Linked DNA regions of Arabidopsis thaliana. The protein of the gene in region 1 interacts with the protein of each later gene in a pairwise test. Each region holds a gene or a part of one and is shown on either strand. Other genes may lie near its edges.

Evidence for each region. The genes of interacting proteins can lie anywhere in the genome.
Region 2: the proteins of NAC074 (region 1) and TPR3 interact in a two-hybrid assay, tested with the Arabidopsis thaliana proteins (one study listed by BioGRID).

What each region holds. Positions count from the first base shown.
Region 1 is NC_003075.7:14,089,069-14,097,366, reverse strand, and holds NAC074 (NAC domain containing protein 74), read left to right. Parts: upstream 1-2,464; 5' UTR 2,465-2,763; coding exon 2,764-2,980; intron 2,981-4,768; coding exon 4,769-5,034; intron 5,035-6,066; coding exon 6,067-6,642; 3' UTR 6,643-6,878; downstream 6,879-8,298. Other genes in the region: CRU3 (cruciferin 3), read right to left, coding at 7,750-8,157.
Region 2 is NC_003076.8:9,508,650-9,517,201, reverse strand, and holds TPR3 (TOPLESS-related 3), read left to right. Parts: upstream 1-1,794; 5' UTR 1,795-1,938; coding exon 1,939-2,018; intron 2,019-2,104; coding exon 2,105-2,284; intron 2,285-2,365; coding exon 2,366-2,479; intron 2,480-2,700; coding exon 2,701-2,859; intron 2,860-2,961; coding exon 2,962-3,136; intron 3,137-3,223; coding exon 3,224-3,353; intron 3,354-3,450; coding exon 3,451-3,563; intron 3,564-3,649; coding exon 3,650-3,785; intron 3,786-3,889; coding exon 3,890-3,999; intron 4,000-4,156; coding exon 4,157-4,378; intron 4,379-4,455; coding exon 4,456-4,551; intron 4,552-4,623; coding exon 4,624-4,716; intron 4,717-4,880; coding exon 4,881-5,008; intron 5,009-5,195; coding exon 5,196-5,430; intron 5,431-5,515; coding exon 5,516-5,677; intron 5,678-5,774; coding exon 5,775-5,849; intron 5,850-6,054; coding exon 6,055-6,189; intron 6,190-6,281; coding exon 6,282-6,392; intron 6,393-6,509; coding exon 6,510-6,689; intron 6,690-6,812; and 11 more. Other genes in the region: AT5G27020 (uncharacterized protein), read right to left, coding at 8,521-8,552. UniProt on the Arabidopsis thaliana protein: Transcriptional corepressor. Negative regulator of jasmonate responses.

The sequences.
Region 1 (8,298 bases):
GATTTTCCGAAACACCAAGAAAATGAGTTTGGTTCAAAGTTCACAGTGTCTTCGGTTTTTCATGTTCATCATTAATGGGCCCCTTACTCGGTTACTCCCATCAATTGTGTCTAGTTTCAAAAATGATAGTATCGATTTTTTTGACATTTTTTAGTGGGATGATAGTATCTGGCTATCTCTTTATATATATTCCTTCTGTCGCATTTTATGAAATGTTTTAAGTTTTTTTTTTGTTAGTTTCAATTTATTAGACACTTCATAAGTTTTTATTTAAAATTCAAATATATTTAATATTTTATGATCATTTATATTATGCATTATCTCTTATGATTGCTTGTACTATTTTAAATTGAAATACTTTTTGTGATAAAAAATTTCTTACGTGTGCATCTCATTATAAATAAATGAGACAAAGAGAATATAACATAAAGACATAATACATATGCTATCAAAACTTTTAACAAAATTAGGAAAATAATTTCTTTAAACAAATTTTATTTTAGTTTTTTACGAATATCTATATATTATCTAAGGGTAGCTAACAAATTAAAGAAAAAATGATTTTAAACACTTAATTTATAAAACTAATTCAAAGGTAACGTCTTGCCTGTCTTTAACCATGGACTCCCCATTTATAGGTTTACGATCGCTTTGTAAAGTTTACTCCCCTCTTATGGCTAGCTTGCTATTTTGAAAAAGTTGCAAAATTGATCGATGGACTATGTTACTTTTTGTCCTCATTCGAATGCTATTGAAAACCACTTGAGCATGTAATTAACTCATATTAAAATTAGTCTAAATTAAGAATGTTTATCATAAATTCTTTTATTTTTTTGAATAGACCCCCACAAAAAAATTAACTATGTATAGAGTGTATATAAAAGTAAAATTAATTGTTTTACATTTTCTCACTTTATACCACAATATTATTATTTCTGTTAAAGAATACCACAATATTTTCAGAAATTAAAATATCAGTATCAGTATCACTACCACTCAAAGCGTGCAACATTGTTGACAGACAAAGCTATTACCCCGACAACGTTATTAAGCTTAGATTGATCCTCACTCATCTGGTTTTACTCTATCGTCTCTAGGTGTAGTCTGTGGTTATATATGTGCTAACTAATATCTTCAGAAAGTAGAGATGGCGATAGAGTCAAACAGACTGAGGGAAATATATTTGTGAATCCTGAGAAAGTGAGAAGATATTATACGATTTTTGTTTTGGGCTCTCAAATCTAGAAGTCATATAACCGAGCAATTTGGATAGCGGTTACCATGAGTACATATATACATAGTTACATACCATTATATATGTAATCGTACATATTATATATAGTTGACCTGGTAATTATTGATTGATATTTGGTACGTATACATTCTTACATATTGGAAGTATATTGTCTCTAACGATTTAAATAAAATTGGCCTCTCGTCACATATGCCACATTAGCATGTTAGGCGTAAATTAATTGTGGAAGAATTAATGTCAACTTATTAATCAAAATGAATCAGTGTATCTAGTCTTCTCTAATTAAGGAAAAACTAATCCAGTATTAAATCGACCAACCCACGGAGTTCAAAAAGAAAACTAATTAAAGAAAAAAAAAAAAGGAGTTCAGTATAAAGTATGGTTTCTATTGTTTCTCTTATTGAAAAAAATCAAGATAAAAACAAAATAAATTCCGTAACTAATTTTTCCTTGTAGTAAAAGTTATATATGTATACTCTTGCATGCTCGTTTACAACTTTACATCATGCTTTGCCAACCCCTTTTGAATTTGATATCAAATCAGAAAAAAAATATTTGACATATTAAATTAGGTCCATATTATTTTTTTCCTAAATATATGGCCAAGAATAATCGATTTAACACAGTTAACGTATGTTACCCATTAATTGTCAATACTAATTGTTGGCAGCAAAAAAAAAACACATTATTGTAGGTATTATAAATAAAAGTATGCTAATTAACTTTCTTCTGACTTTCTTACTAATATTTTTGATTTAAAAAAAAAAATTCAAGCTTAACTTCATACTAATTAATCTTAGAGTACTATTGTATCTCCAAATTAAATCGTACCACCAAGTTTTGTTTAGGTAACAATCCTTAAACGGAAAACTATGATTGACTTTCTTATTAATTTTGAGATACCAAAAGAAAATACGGACTAATCTAGACTAGCGATCGTAGACATTCATAATTTACCTACTATTCACAAAAAAAAAATAGTATCTAAATGAAACGGTTATTCGAACAAGAAGAAAAAGAAGGGAAAAGTTTGGTTTGTTTTCCCTAAGTGGATAACAATGAAACCAAAAGAGAATATTTGATAATAGTGTCCCATGAGACACCTCACAACTAAGATTTCTTGTAACTTTGGTTTTTCTTGAAACTTCCCACCATAACTAACTACATATATTACACAACCATGGACCCAATTAATCTTACAATATTGTAAGAAACTCTAACTTGCCATCTTACATCCTTAGCTACATGCATGATTTATATTATTGTATTTCCATATATCATATAAGCTAATTTCCCACTAACTATAAATATATACATAATTAAACCTATATATGTATCTACACACACCGATCTCCCTCTCCCTCTCCCTCTCCCTCTTTATCTTTCTCTTCCTCCTTTGCTAATAAACTTTTCTTTGAACCTTACACGCCTTGTTGATATTACTCTCTTAAATATATATTTTCGTACATTAACACAGACATATATAAAGCTAAAGATTTCTTCACGTAATGGGTTTGAAAGATATTGGGTCCAAATTGCCACCGGGGTTTCGATTTCATCCAAGTGATGAAGAGTTGGTTTGTCATTATCTTTGCAACAAGATTAGGGCCAAATCTGATCATGGTGATGTTGATGATGATGATGATGATGTTGATGAAGCTTTGAAGGGTTCTACTGATCTTGTGGAGATTGACTTGCATATCTGTGAGCCATGGGAGCTTCCTGGTAACATATATCTCTACTATTTCTGATATTTAATTCTATATTTTTTGGATTCAAACTGATATATAGTCATAGGTTATATGAATTTGTTTAACTATCTTTTCACTCCTGGCTTTTCTTGGGTTTCAAATTGCTTTCGTAAAGATTCTTGAAACTTTCCATTGGAAAACAATATTCCTGAAATTAATTGAACATAAAGAAGAAAACTAATTCTTGAAATCAGATATTATCATCCGCGTCTGTTAATTGTTATTGTAAATCTTAACCTATAAACTTTTTAGTATTATTACAATTAGATGATGTTTACTTATGTGTCTAATTATGTTTGTCAACTTAATACATATCTACGCATTTGCATATTTACAGATTTATGATATGCTTATACTTACAAACCGAATCTTCTTGTTCGTGATTCTAGAAAATGAATGAAAGATCAAATATCTTTTAATTGTGAAACGGGTGATGAGTTCACATAAATGCTAGATTTTAGACTGATTCATTAATTATGATCATAAATCATAATTGCATTAATATTAGTGTAAACATTATCCGGAGTGTCATGAATCATGATTAGTTGAGATACATGCTAGCTTTTTAATAATATGTTTGCAATTATAGAATAAAGATCTGGAGGCTGTACAAAAGCAGCAAAATATGCAAAATCACAGCTGTCGTTATACTCGTAAATCAGATGGTAAATTTTAATGAATAATTATAGGTGCACTTACATCATATCAAAACATGATATATATATATATAGATATATATGTGTGTTCTTTGTATGTTTCTAGTGATTTTCATTATTTGTTTGTGGTTCTTTGTTTGATGATATACCTTGAGAAGTTAAGGAAGCTTTTTTAAAAGGGGACCGAGAATCCTGTTGTCATCTTTTTATTTTTCTTATCTTTTTCAAGTTTTTGTTGTCTTCGTAATTTTGACTTTTGGGGACTTTGTTAAATAAGATAACTTGCAGATTATAAAATACAAAGTTAGTTAATTAGTTGCATTAATGAACATTAATATAAATGTATACTAAAAGATTAACTAAACAAAAAAGTAGGCTTTGTGTGTAAACACGAAGACCTTTTTTTGCCTCATATCACAAGCAACTTTAGAGACTCAAGAAACCTTTAATTATTTACATGACCAGTACGATCTTGTTGTTACTATAGTCGAATATATGAATAAATAGTATAATTAACTAAGCAATATACATATAATATTCTATTTTGGATATGGTTTATGATAATTATGTTTACAAAAAAGTAATTGTGGTCTATTACTCTTCTTCTCAATTATGGCAAAATAAAGGAATCTTTTTAAGTAAGTAGTCATCACATTATCTTCTTGATCATCTTCTGTAAGGATCAAATTAATGTGAAACTGATAGGAGGAATGTTTGAGAGAGCAATAATTTCCTCCGCTGAAGTCAAAATCGTAATTATTTTTTTGCCAAAACTAATAATATAATGTCTCACATCCTCGTCTTGTCTACATCACACAAGTCATATATCACCACATTAACCTTTGACATGTCACTGTTTCTATATCGAAAGCCTATAAACCCAATTCAAAAAATTAATTAATGTTGAATAAATTGGTATAAAATCACCATAAAGTCACCATAATTCAAATTTACTAGACGCTTTTATATATAATATTTAGAATACGATTTTTTATGTTTAAAAATAAAATAATATTTAGTTAGTATTGTGATAGACTGATAGGTATCTTGACAAACACTTTTAAGAATTTACTGATGATTATATATCTCTTGTATGTTGTGTATAGATGTGGCAAAGTTAAACGCAAAGGAATGGTACTTCTTCAGTTTCCGTGATCGAAAGTATGCTACTGGATATCGCACGAACAGAGCGACAGTAAGCGGATACTGGAAAGCAACAGGAAAAGATCGAACGGTGATGGATCCACGTACAAGGCAATTGGTAGGGATGAGAAAAACACTAGTGTTCTACAGAAACAGAGCACCAAATGGGATCAAAACTACTTGGATCATGCACGAGTTCCGTCTTGAGTGTCCTAACATCCCACCTAAGGTACTTGGTTATTCCCCAACAATTGGTCCTTCTCTCTTTGACACTACTAACCATAATTAGTAATCATCATTTCATAATAATTACGTCTTGATAACCATAACTTGCAACGTACCTAAACTCACGACATGTGTCTATTCGTGGATGTCCCATGCATAGATATAGATACCAAATTAATGGTACCAGCGTATTGGTATTTTATCCCAAAACAAATTTGAAAAAGAAAAATGAGATCATACTTTTTCTTTCTTTTTAGGTAGAAAATCTCAATAAGTTATCTCACTATAAACATATGAATCCATCCTTTTAATTACTTTCAATATTTATTTAGAACTTGTCAAAAAATTGTCGTAATCCATTAATCCATCATATTTATATACATCCATCCAATATCATATAGTCTATAGCTGTATATTTTGCACCTCACGAACTTTAGTCTGGACTTACGAAATCTGATCATACTATATATACACAAACATTGTGAGGAATCATGCATGTGTATTCAATTAAAATAGAGATTTTTCATCCATTTATTTGTTTGTTTCAGTCGGCTATACCTTTTTAAACTTAGTCACTTAACTACTATGTAAAGAATCATACACTTAAATTCAAAACGAATTGTCAGATGAAGAGATTAATAATCAACATCTCTTAATTACACTAGTTTTGGTTATTTCTGACGTCCAATCTAGATTCTATACATATGTTTACTCTCCGGATAGTTAGTTATTTTTGGAGTCAAGTATCTAAGCATTAGTGTATGTATATATGTACGTATTAACGTATATATGTATGCATGGGTGAGCATGATGAGATGACAGCAAGTTAAAAGAAGGAATGACGAATATATGCAGATAAAACAAAAAAACAAAATAAAAATTGAAGAAAGAGACAAAAGTGGCTTTAATGCGTGTTTGGTCATTTGCATGCACGAGACCGCACGTAACGTAACATTTCATGCATTTTTATATACATACGTTTATTTGATTATTTTTTAACGATGTCCTCTCGTTTTCTGTCGGTATGTGGACACAGGAAGACTGGGTCTTGTGCAGAGTGTTCAACAAAGGCAGAGACTCATCGCTACAAGACAATAATTATTATAACAATGATAATCAGACGCAAAGGCTTGAAGTTAATGACGCTCCGGATCTTAATTACAACAATCAGTTGCCACCTTTGCTATCATCCCCTCCTCATAATCATCAACATGAGAAGATGAAAATCCAAGTTTGTGATCAGTGGGAGCAGCTAATGAAGCAGCCTTCAAGGACCACCGGCCACCCCTATCATCACCATTGTCATCATCAAACCATAGCATGTGGTTGGGAGCAGATGATGATCGGTTCGCTGTCATCACCTTCGAGTCATGGCCCTGATCACGAGTCCTTGCTAAATTTGCTTTACGTCGACAATAACAACAGTGTCAACATCAGTGGTGATCATCATCAGAATTATGAGAAGATTTTGTTGTCATCACTAGACATGACGAGTTTGGATCACGACAAGACATGTATGGGATCATCATCGGATGGTGGTATGGTCTCTGATCTTCACATGGAATGTGGTGGATTGAGTTTTGAGACCGAAAATATCCTCGCTTTCCAATGAACATAATTCAAGGGGTTCGCCAATTTGTTGATTCGTGAATTATACAAACATTTTATCTATAGATTTATCACATTATCAAACATGTAAGTTGTGTGGCATTTGGGTATAGGGTTTGTGTGATTCTAGGTTTTTAGGACGATGTATGTTGTTATATTTAGCGTGTTTTTAGGATTTATTCTCATTTTAAAATTATATGAAAACCCATTACTATGAATACAATTAGTTTTCTTTGTTGTAAATAATATTTTAGATTATCATCTTTCCTTTGCATATTATATTTTCTTTTATAGCTCGATAGAATCATTTGCTTACAATTTTTATATTTCCCTAACAGAGAATATCATTCATATAGTAAAACTTTTTTCAAAAAATTATTAAATCAAAGATGGAGGAGTAGTAACGAGAAAACAATAATGGAGACCAATTGGGATGATTGGCATTTGAGCAGCCGATGAAGGTTGTTTTTTGTTTTGTTTTTTCGGCTTCCCTTTTTTTATATAGTTTCGTTAATAAATTACAAAAACTGTATGAGCTAGTGATCAGGAGATGAAAAGCAGCTCTTCCAAGCTCTCTTATATGGATCATAAGCCAAAAAAAAGAGAAGAATGATACAGTTTTTCCGTAGCTTAGCTTTAGAAGCTAAAGCCTAAAGAAAGAGAGAATAATCTTTGGAGGCCATGCTATTTCTTGTTACGACATAGAATCCAACACAATTTTTCACTTCAAAAATTGGAACTAATCTACACTTTTCCCCGCAAGAGTAATCTAGGATAACGTTTCCAAGTGACGGAACTTTAATTCGTTTGGGCCTCCGTTTAGGCCCACAGAAAGCAGAAAGCCGTATTTTGAAAAAAAAAAGAATAAAGACCAAGTATATATACGAAGCTCAAGCTACAGTAGATGGACACAAACTTATGTTTTGTGGAATAGACGAAAAAACTGGCGCTATATTATAGTATGTAACTCGAAACTTCCCTTTTATTTATGAGAAGAAAGTGTTATTACAAGTGAGGTGCCGCAGACACATATTTTACACGTACGTTAAAGGTAAAGGGACGTGATTACAAACTGACCATACTTTATTAAGAAAAAGAAAAACGTTTTGATTTAAGCCTCGACAATCTCCTCGATCAACTGTTGTTGTTGCCTACCGGCAGCGCGGGTCAAAGTGGTCTCAAGTGTGTTGAACTTGATCTTCCTAGCTTCCTCGGGAGAGATCTGGAAACCATTTGATATGACCTCCAATGGCAATGCCCTCAAGAGCGAGGTTCTACCCGCCAAAGTGCTGATCATTGCGTTTTCATTAGTTTTGAAAGAGATCCACTCGAACTTGTTTCCGTGGGACTGGACAACGTATGCGAACCCTTGTGGGATGACCACGAGCTGTCCCTTCTGCACCTGTTGGTCCAACACGTTCTGTCCGTTGTCGTTGACCACTTGGATCCTTCCTTGTCCTCCAGTGCAGTACAAGATCTCGTTAGCGTTCATGTTGTATTTAGGAAGCACCATCGCATTCTGTAACATTTGACAAAACATGTGAACACGTCATCCGTCATATAGAACTTCCAATTTTAATATGTTTTGCTAAAGAAAAAAAAAAGGAATAAATATCTATCAAATTCATTTTTAAAACATTTGTATACGTTCTTAAATAAT
Region 2 (8,552 bases), on another chromosome or scaffold:
AATGCACTTTAAATTTGAATATTAAACATCTTCATATTAAAAATAGAGTCATTTGGAAATATTATTAATAAAACTATTTATAAAATTAAATAGTACAGAATTTATAAAATGTAATATCATATAATTTATCCATATATGGCACGCATTCTTACCTAGTTTATCCTTAAATTATCAAGAAAAAAACAAATTTAAAAATATTTTCTACATTTATGTTAATAAGTAAATTTTACTTAAGTTAGGAAACATAGTATCAAATTTCTTATTTTACTTAAGTTAGGTTTTGAAGAATTAACCTCGATTTGTATCTATCGTGTTTTTAAAAAATGAAAATTGACATTTATCCTTAAATTTATAAGATATATTTGTAAATTGTATTGTTCTCATTAGTATACCCTAATCACTTTTCTATCTCTCTATAAATACCTGTAAATCTCATTCTAAAATAAAGTCAATACATTTAGCCTCTATATGGTACCAAAGCTTACAATTCTAAATGGTATAAAGAATATATATGATATATTGTGAAAATGTTGGTGCCACTTACCTCGGTACCAATCCGGTTTTCTATTCTCGAATGAACCATATATATAGCACTTAATTCAAGCTGGAATGCTTCAGATTACTCATGTCTCCATTGGTGATCAGTTAGCAAATACATTCACTAAATCTTTAGCGAAATCAATATTTCAAAAAAAAAGTTCCAAAATTAGAGCTACACGAGTACTTCCATACTAAAAGGACGTATAAAGAATATACATGTAAACCATATTGTTATATCCTAATCATTTTTTTCTATCTCTTAAATACTTGTAAATCTTAATTCTAATAAAGTTAATGTATTCGGCCTCTATAAAATTTTATTTTATATATACTTAATAAGTTATTTTCATACTCCATATGTTTCTTTTATTTGATTTTCTAGAAAAAAAATGTTTCAAAAAGATTAATTTTATAGGTTTTCAATACAATACTTATTAGTTATAATTGATAAATTGTAAACTTCAATAAAAATTATTGAATATTATTGGTTTAAAGTTATTAAAAATTTTAAATTATAAAAAATAGTACATTTAAAAAACAAGATTTAATATGTCTTTTTTTAATATTTATGTTTTTCCTAAAAAATCAAATAAAAAGAAATATTAAAAATATTATTTTCCTTTTTTTATTATTTTTCTTTTCAAATATCTATTTTCTAAATCCATATTATGTTTTTCTTTTATAAATAATCTCATTTCGCCATGGAGAACACGAGTAATTCTCCTGGTGTATGCCTAAAAAAAAAAGCAAAGATTATAATATGAGTATATATAATTATATATGACGTAACCTGCGAGATGTTGAATTGTCCACATTGTAATTGTCACGAACACTTAATTAAATCTTGCGAAAAAGAGATCTCAAAAATATCGCGAGAAAAAGAAAAAAAGGATAATATGAGAAAAGCCAAACGAAGAGTGCATCGAAAGCTGAGAGCGACATAATAAAGGAGAGAGAAAAATGTGGGGACCAGACTGGACGTGTGCACAGAATATTCACACTATTTGAATTTTGTTTTCGAATCCGCCACTCTATCTCCAAATCAACTTATCACTCAATTTGATAATAACTTAACCTACCTCTCTTATAAGGAAGCCTACTTATCACCGACGAAGACTCCGCTTATATCTGATAAGTCGGTAGAACGATGTCTCTGTGCAAAGAAGAACGCGTCCAAGAAAGCGAGGTCTAAAGTTTCTCAATCCCCCAATCTTCTCCTCCTTCTTTATATATTCTCTCTCTCTCTCTCCATTTTTCTCTAAAAGCTAGAGCTCTTCAAAACCCTAGAAATCCTCGAAATCAGAGTCTTTACCTGGGCTCGTGTCTTCAGAGCTCGGATTCGTGTTTCTTTCGTCGTCTCTCTTCTTCGTTTCTCGTCAGATTTGAGATTCGTTGAGAATGTCGTCGTTGAGTCGAGAGTTGGTGTTTCTGATACTTCAATTTCTGGAGGAAGAGAAATTTAAGGAATCTGTGCACAGGTTAGTCTATTTATATGGTTTGTTTTGTGTTGTGTTGTGAGAGGCTGAATTTTGGGATTGACTGATTTGTAATTTGTTAAATATAGGCTTGAGAAAGAGTCAGGATTCTTCTTCAATACCAAGTATTTTGATGAGAAAGTTCTAGCTGGAGAATGGGATGATGTTGAGACGTATTTGTCAGGTTTTACTAAGGTTGATGATAACAGATACTCTATGAAGATTTTCTTTGAAATTAGGAAGCAGAAGTATCTCGAGGCTCTTGATCGGTATGATTATAAGCTGTCTTATTTGTTTTTTTACTCTTGAAGATTTGTGGTTTTAGAGTTTGATGTTCTCTGTTGTTACAGGCAAGAGAAGGCAAAAGCAGTTGAGATACTAGTGCAAGATTTGAGAGTTTTCTCCACTTTCAATGAGGAGCTTTACAAAGAAATCACTCAACTCTTAACTTTGCAAAACTTTAGGTATGATATATTGAATTTTGATCTCTCCTTGTTGATGTTTCTGTTGTTATGGAAAGTAGGAATATGAGACTTGGTTTAGGTTCAGTCCAAGTCGAGTTCGTGATGCTTTGTAGACTGTTTTTGTTTGGATGTGAAAGAGGGTGTGATACTCGAGTTTCTCTCTCGATTGTTTGCGTTTTGTGGATTGAAATTTGACATCAATGATTTTCATGAATCTGCAGGGAAAATGAGCAGCTTTCAAAATATGGAGACACTAAAACTGCTCGGGGCATAATGCTAGGCGAACTTAAAAAACTAATTGAAGCGAATCCACTTTTTCGTGATAAATTGATGTTCCCTACTTTGAGATCTTCGAGACTGCGGACTCTGATTAATCAAAGGTGTGTTTCTTTTTTCTTTCCTCATGACCATTCTGTATGTTGCAGATGAGGTTTGGATGACTTCGTTGTTGGATGATTCATTGTGCATATGTTCTCTTGCAGCCTCAATTGGCAGCACCAGTTGTGCAAGAATCCTAGGCCAAACCCAGATATTAAAACTCTATTCACAGACCACACTTGCACACTTCCGAATGGTCCTCTCGCACCTTCAGCAGTCAATCAGCCTGTTACTACTTTGACGAAGCCAGCAGCTTATCCGTCACTTGGACCTCATGTTGTAAGAAACCTCGATGTTTGACTGCTTTAATCATGTTTTTTGAATCTAAATTAATCTTAATGTTTGTGGAATCTGTATTACATGTAGCCCTTTCCACCTGGTCCTGCTGCTGCTAATGCTGGTGCTTTAGCTAGTTGGATGGCTGCTGCCTCTGGTGCTTCTGCTGTCCAAGCTGCCGTTGTTACACCTGCCTTGATGCCTCAACCTCAGAATCAAAGTTAGTTTTTGACGATCCTCTAGATTTCTAATCCTCGACTTATCAATAACTATCATTTCAGTTTCCATCAAAAACTTATTATTTTTCTTCCAAAAAGTGTCAATCTTGAAGCGACCAAGAACACCACCAGCAACTCCAGGTATAGTAGATTATCAGAATCCTGATCATGAACTAATGAAGCGTCTCCGCCCTGCTCCATCTGTGGAGGAGGTAACGCGAATTCTTTTCTTTTTCTGGAAAGCTGTTTATATAATTCTTGCATCTTCTCAAAATTCTAAGCATTTATCATTTTCCAGGTGACATATCCTGCTCCTAGGCAGCAAGCTCCATGGTCGCTGGAAGATTTGCCAACAAAGGCAGCTCTGGCGCTGCATCAAGGGTCCACTGTGACAAGCATGGAGTTCTACCCTATGCAAAACACGTTACTTCTTGGTATGGGGGTTTGAAAAAAAGAATACAAATTCTAAACTGTGTTTGAAGTTATATTTCTGTTATCTCTTATTTGGCTTTCTGAATGACCGTTTGAATGCCATCAGTTGGATCTGCGACGGGAGAAATCACATTGTGGGAACTTGCCGCTCGAGAGAGGCTGGTTTCAAGGCCATTCAAGATATGGGATATGTCTAATTGCTCACATCAGTTTCAGGTTTGTCTTTACAGCTAAGAAGTTTTTAGTTTATGTGTTTGATGTATAAAGGCGGAATTCAACCAAATGGCTATGAGAAGTGTTGGAGATAAAACGTATCAGCAAACTAGTTGCTGTGCAAGATTCTTATACTTGCCTTTCTTTTGGCATCATTCAGGCTTTGATAGCTAAAGAAACACCGATATCTGTCACTCGCGTTGCATGGAGTCCGGATGGAAATTTCATTGGTAAGCTTCCCGTCATGCATTGTTGGATTTTAATTGTATGTTGTCTATGGTCTCTGGTCTCAGTCTCTTATTGTGCAGGGGTTGCGTTTACAAAACATCTAATTCAGTTGTACGCTTTCTCTGGACCTAATGATCTTCGCCAACATACTGAGGTAAGCATACTTGTGATCTGTACGAGAAATATTGCGATGTAATAATATCCCACTGAGACTAGATCACTTTTTCACAGATTGATGCCCATGTCGGTGCTGTGAACGACTTGGCTTTCGCCAATCCAAACAGACAACTATGTGTAATTACTTGCGGAGATGATAAATTAATCAAGGTGAGATAAAGAGTCACAAAGTTTCACTGTTAGATATCAATGCAGCTGGCTAACTTGATCAATGTGGAACAGGTATGGGATGTTTCTGGTCGGAAGCATTTTACTTTTGAAGGCCACGACGCTCCAGTTTATTCCATTTGCCCTCATTACAAAGAGAACATTCAGGTGCGGCAAGGATTGAATCAAACTATATTTTACATCAATTATTATACTGTTTTACCAATCCGTTTGAAGAACAATAAAGTAGACGACACATTTCATATAGTATTATCTTGCCTATGAATTTCTGTTCTTTACCAAAATACATCTCGTTCTTATTTGGATTTCAGTTCATATTTTCAACCGCCATAGATGGGAAAATAAAAGCCTGGCTTTATGATAATCTGGGTTCCAGAGTTGACTATGATGCTCCCGGTAAATGGTGTACGAGGATGCTTTACAGTGCTGATGGTACTAGGTAAGATCTTAAACTCATAAACATTTCCCTCTTCTATACCGCTTGTTCTTCACTCCTCAGTTTCCAAAATCTTCAGATTCTTTTGTTTACTCCGGAGGATACTGAGTTGTGTCCTTGAGTTTCTAATCTTATCTTTCTGTTTTAAGTTTACCTTTTCAGTGCTTTCTGATGTTTTTTCCCCCTTCAGATTGTTCTCTTGTGGAACGAGTAAAGATGGAGATTCTTTCCTAGTTGAGTGGAATGAAAGTGAAGGATCAATTAAAAGGACGTATAAAGAGTTTCAGAAAAAGTTGGCAGGTGTGGTTCAGTTCGATACCTCAAAAAACCATTTTCTGGCTGTTGGTGAAGATGGACAAATCAAATTTTGGGATATGAACAACATCAATGTTCTGACTAGCACTGATGCTGAGGGTGGACTTCCGGTAAGTCCCAAAGATTCTTTTTCCCATGGCTTGTTGCTTGGATGTTCGTCTTTTTAGGTTTGCATATAACTTGTCCCAACTTCAGGCTCTTCCCCATTTGAGATTTAACAAGGACGGCAATCTTCTAGCCGTTACTACGGCAGATAACGGATTTAAGATCCTAGCTAATCCAGCTGGTTTCCGATCTCTTCGAGCGATGGAAACTCCAGCTTCTGAAACGATGAGGACTCCAGTTGATTTCAAAGCTGTAATGTTTCTCAACTTTGTATTACATTTTTTCCCTTTTTTACATCCACTGTCATTACAAGCTGTCTCGGTTTACACACTTTGGTATATTCTGTTAGGTTCCTGGTGCTCCTGTTGCGTCTGTCAATTGTAAAGTTGAACGAGGCTCTCCTGTTAGACACTCACAAATGCTGGTAAAATCACTCATTAAATGCTATGTTTCTAGCCATTTCTATAATTTATTATTCTGTTCTGGATTTTCGGTTGTAAATGAAGTGAACTTCCATTTGTCGAAATTGTAGTTTACTATTCTCTGACTATAGTAGTTGACTGTTTCCGATTTTTTTGTCATGTTTAAAAAAAATATTTACTAATCTTTTTTTTCTGAATATCCTCAAGAATGGAGTTGATCCCTCAAAGTCGAGAATCGATGACTCAACAGACAAACCAAAATCTTGGCAATTAGCTGAAATCTTGGACCCTTCCCAGTGTTTCCAAGCTACTTTACCCGATACCGCTGGTTCTTCCACAAAGGTTTGTGCAGTTATCTTTCTCAGAAAGTTGTTGGATTTCTATAAATGTTTTGAAATTGAGGCTTAATTTTCTCATGCTGCGTGGGAAAGCAGGTTGTTCAGCTTCTGTATACGAATTCCGGTGCTGGAATCTTGGCACTAGGTTCCAATGGTATCCAGAGACTCTGGAAGTGGGTTCCCAATGAGCAGAACCCTAGTGGAAAGGTAATCGTAAAAAAGAGTTTGAGAGAGCTTAATGCATGCTGTCTGCGGTTTTAAAGAGTTAGAGATAGCTTAATGCATGCTGTGTGCGGTTTTATTTAAGTACTGTTTATTATGCAGGCAACTGCTACTGTTGTTCCTCAGCATTGGCAACCAAACAGTGGTCTTCTTATGACCAATGATGTGTCTGGTGTAAACCTTGAAAACGCTGCCCCATGCATCGCTCTCTCTAAGAACGACTCATATGTCATGTCTGCTGCTGGAGGAAAAGTCTCGTTGTTCAACATGATGACTTTTAAGGTATATATTATCTATATGAACTTAAAAAAAGCCACAAGATTTCTAACTGAAAATGTTCTCACACTAATCTAGTAAACTCTTTTGGTTGTTCTAATTTCCACAAAAAAACTATTGGCCTTATAGGTGATGACAACATTCATGCCGCCTCCACCAGCATCAACGTTTTTGGCGTTCCATCCTCAGGACAATAACGTCATCGCCATTGGAATGGAAGACTCTACGATTCACATCTATAATGTCCGAGTGGATGAGGTAAGTAGTTTCTAGTACTAACCATTGCCACTTATGTAGTCTTTTTGATCTATGACAAGGAAAAACTTGTGAACCTTACGTTTTTTGAAGAAATGGTTCTCATAGCTTCACATATGTTTTACAGTTTAATTTTCCCCTCACTGCTAATGTTGCCTTAAAACTCTATCAACGATCTGAAACTTGCATATTGTGTTCCATCAGGTCAAATCAAAGCTAAAGGGTCACCAGAAACGCATCACAGGCCTAGCATTTTCTACAGCCCTCAACATCTTGGTTTCATCTGGTGCTGATGCACAGGTGTGTTATGCTGCGTCTTGTTGTTGTTGTTGTTGTCCTGTAGTAAATATATCTCAACTGAAGGGAAAAATGCTTGATTATTTTGTGTTGTTTCCTTGCTGGATTTTCTACCATTAGACTTATCTAATCTAGGAGGATACTTATTCTTCCTGTTGTCTTCTCTTAGATCTGCTTTTGGAGCATTGACACATGGGAGAAGAGGAAATCCGTTGCAATACAAATGCCAGCAGGAAAAGCCGCCAATGGAGACACGCGGGTTCAGTTTCATGTGGATCAGTTGCGTATTCTGGTAGTCCACGAGACACAACTGGCGGTATTTGATGCTTCCAAGATGGAATGTATCCGACAGGTATCTATGACTATGATGAGATCATCTCTGTAAATCCACTTATATAAAATGGATCATCTCTGACCTGGCATGTATATATGAAATGCAAGGTCATATATACATATTCTTAATCATTATTTTGAAATTTGTAATGACTTATGTTCTCTTGTTTTCATGTCTCAGTGGATTCCACAAGACTCGCTGTCTGCTCCTATATCTTCAGCGGTGTACGCATGCAACAGCCAGCTGATCTACACCACTTTCCGCGATGGTAACATTGGAGTATTTGACGCGGACAGTCTCAGATTAAGATGTCGTATCTCTCCATCCGCCTACTTGCCTCAAGGGTAAGTTTATCCAACATTTCATCAGATTCTTATTTCTAAATCACTGTACTTTGTAAGGTTTGGTACATGAATCTGTATAATAGACTTAAATTGACTTCTGAAACATGAGAAATTGGTATATTTTCATAAGCCAAAATAGTTATAAACTCTTCTCATTGATTCTCTTTGCTTTCACAGGAATCAAGGCTTGTCTCCTCTTGTTGTGGCGGCTCACCCGCAAGACCCAAACCAGTTTGCGGTAGGTTTGAATGACGGGTCAGTGAAGATGATGGAACCGACAGAGGGTGAAGGCAAGTGGGGGATGATTCCACCCTCTGAAGCTATCAATTCACCATCCACCACAAGCAACCAAACTCCAGAACAGTTACAAAGATGAACAAACCAGAATGGCTTCCTCATAATCCATCAATGTAACTAATCTCGATTATTTATAGGCAGTGTCATTAGATCTTCAAATGTAGCCTTAGTTTCAAGATTTCAAGATTTCAAGATATTGAAAATTGGTAAGAAATAAAGTTTGTATAAACTACCTGCAAATCTCTAATGAGTGAATCAACAAGAAACTGAAACTACACTAGGACTAATACTGACGAAAACCGATCAACCGTCATGGCTCGGGTAGGAGAATTCCGTCACCAT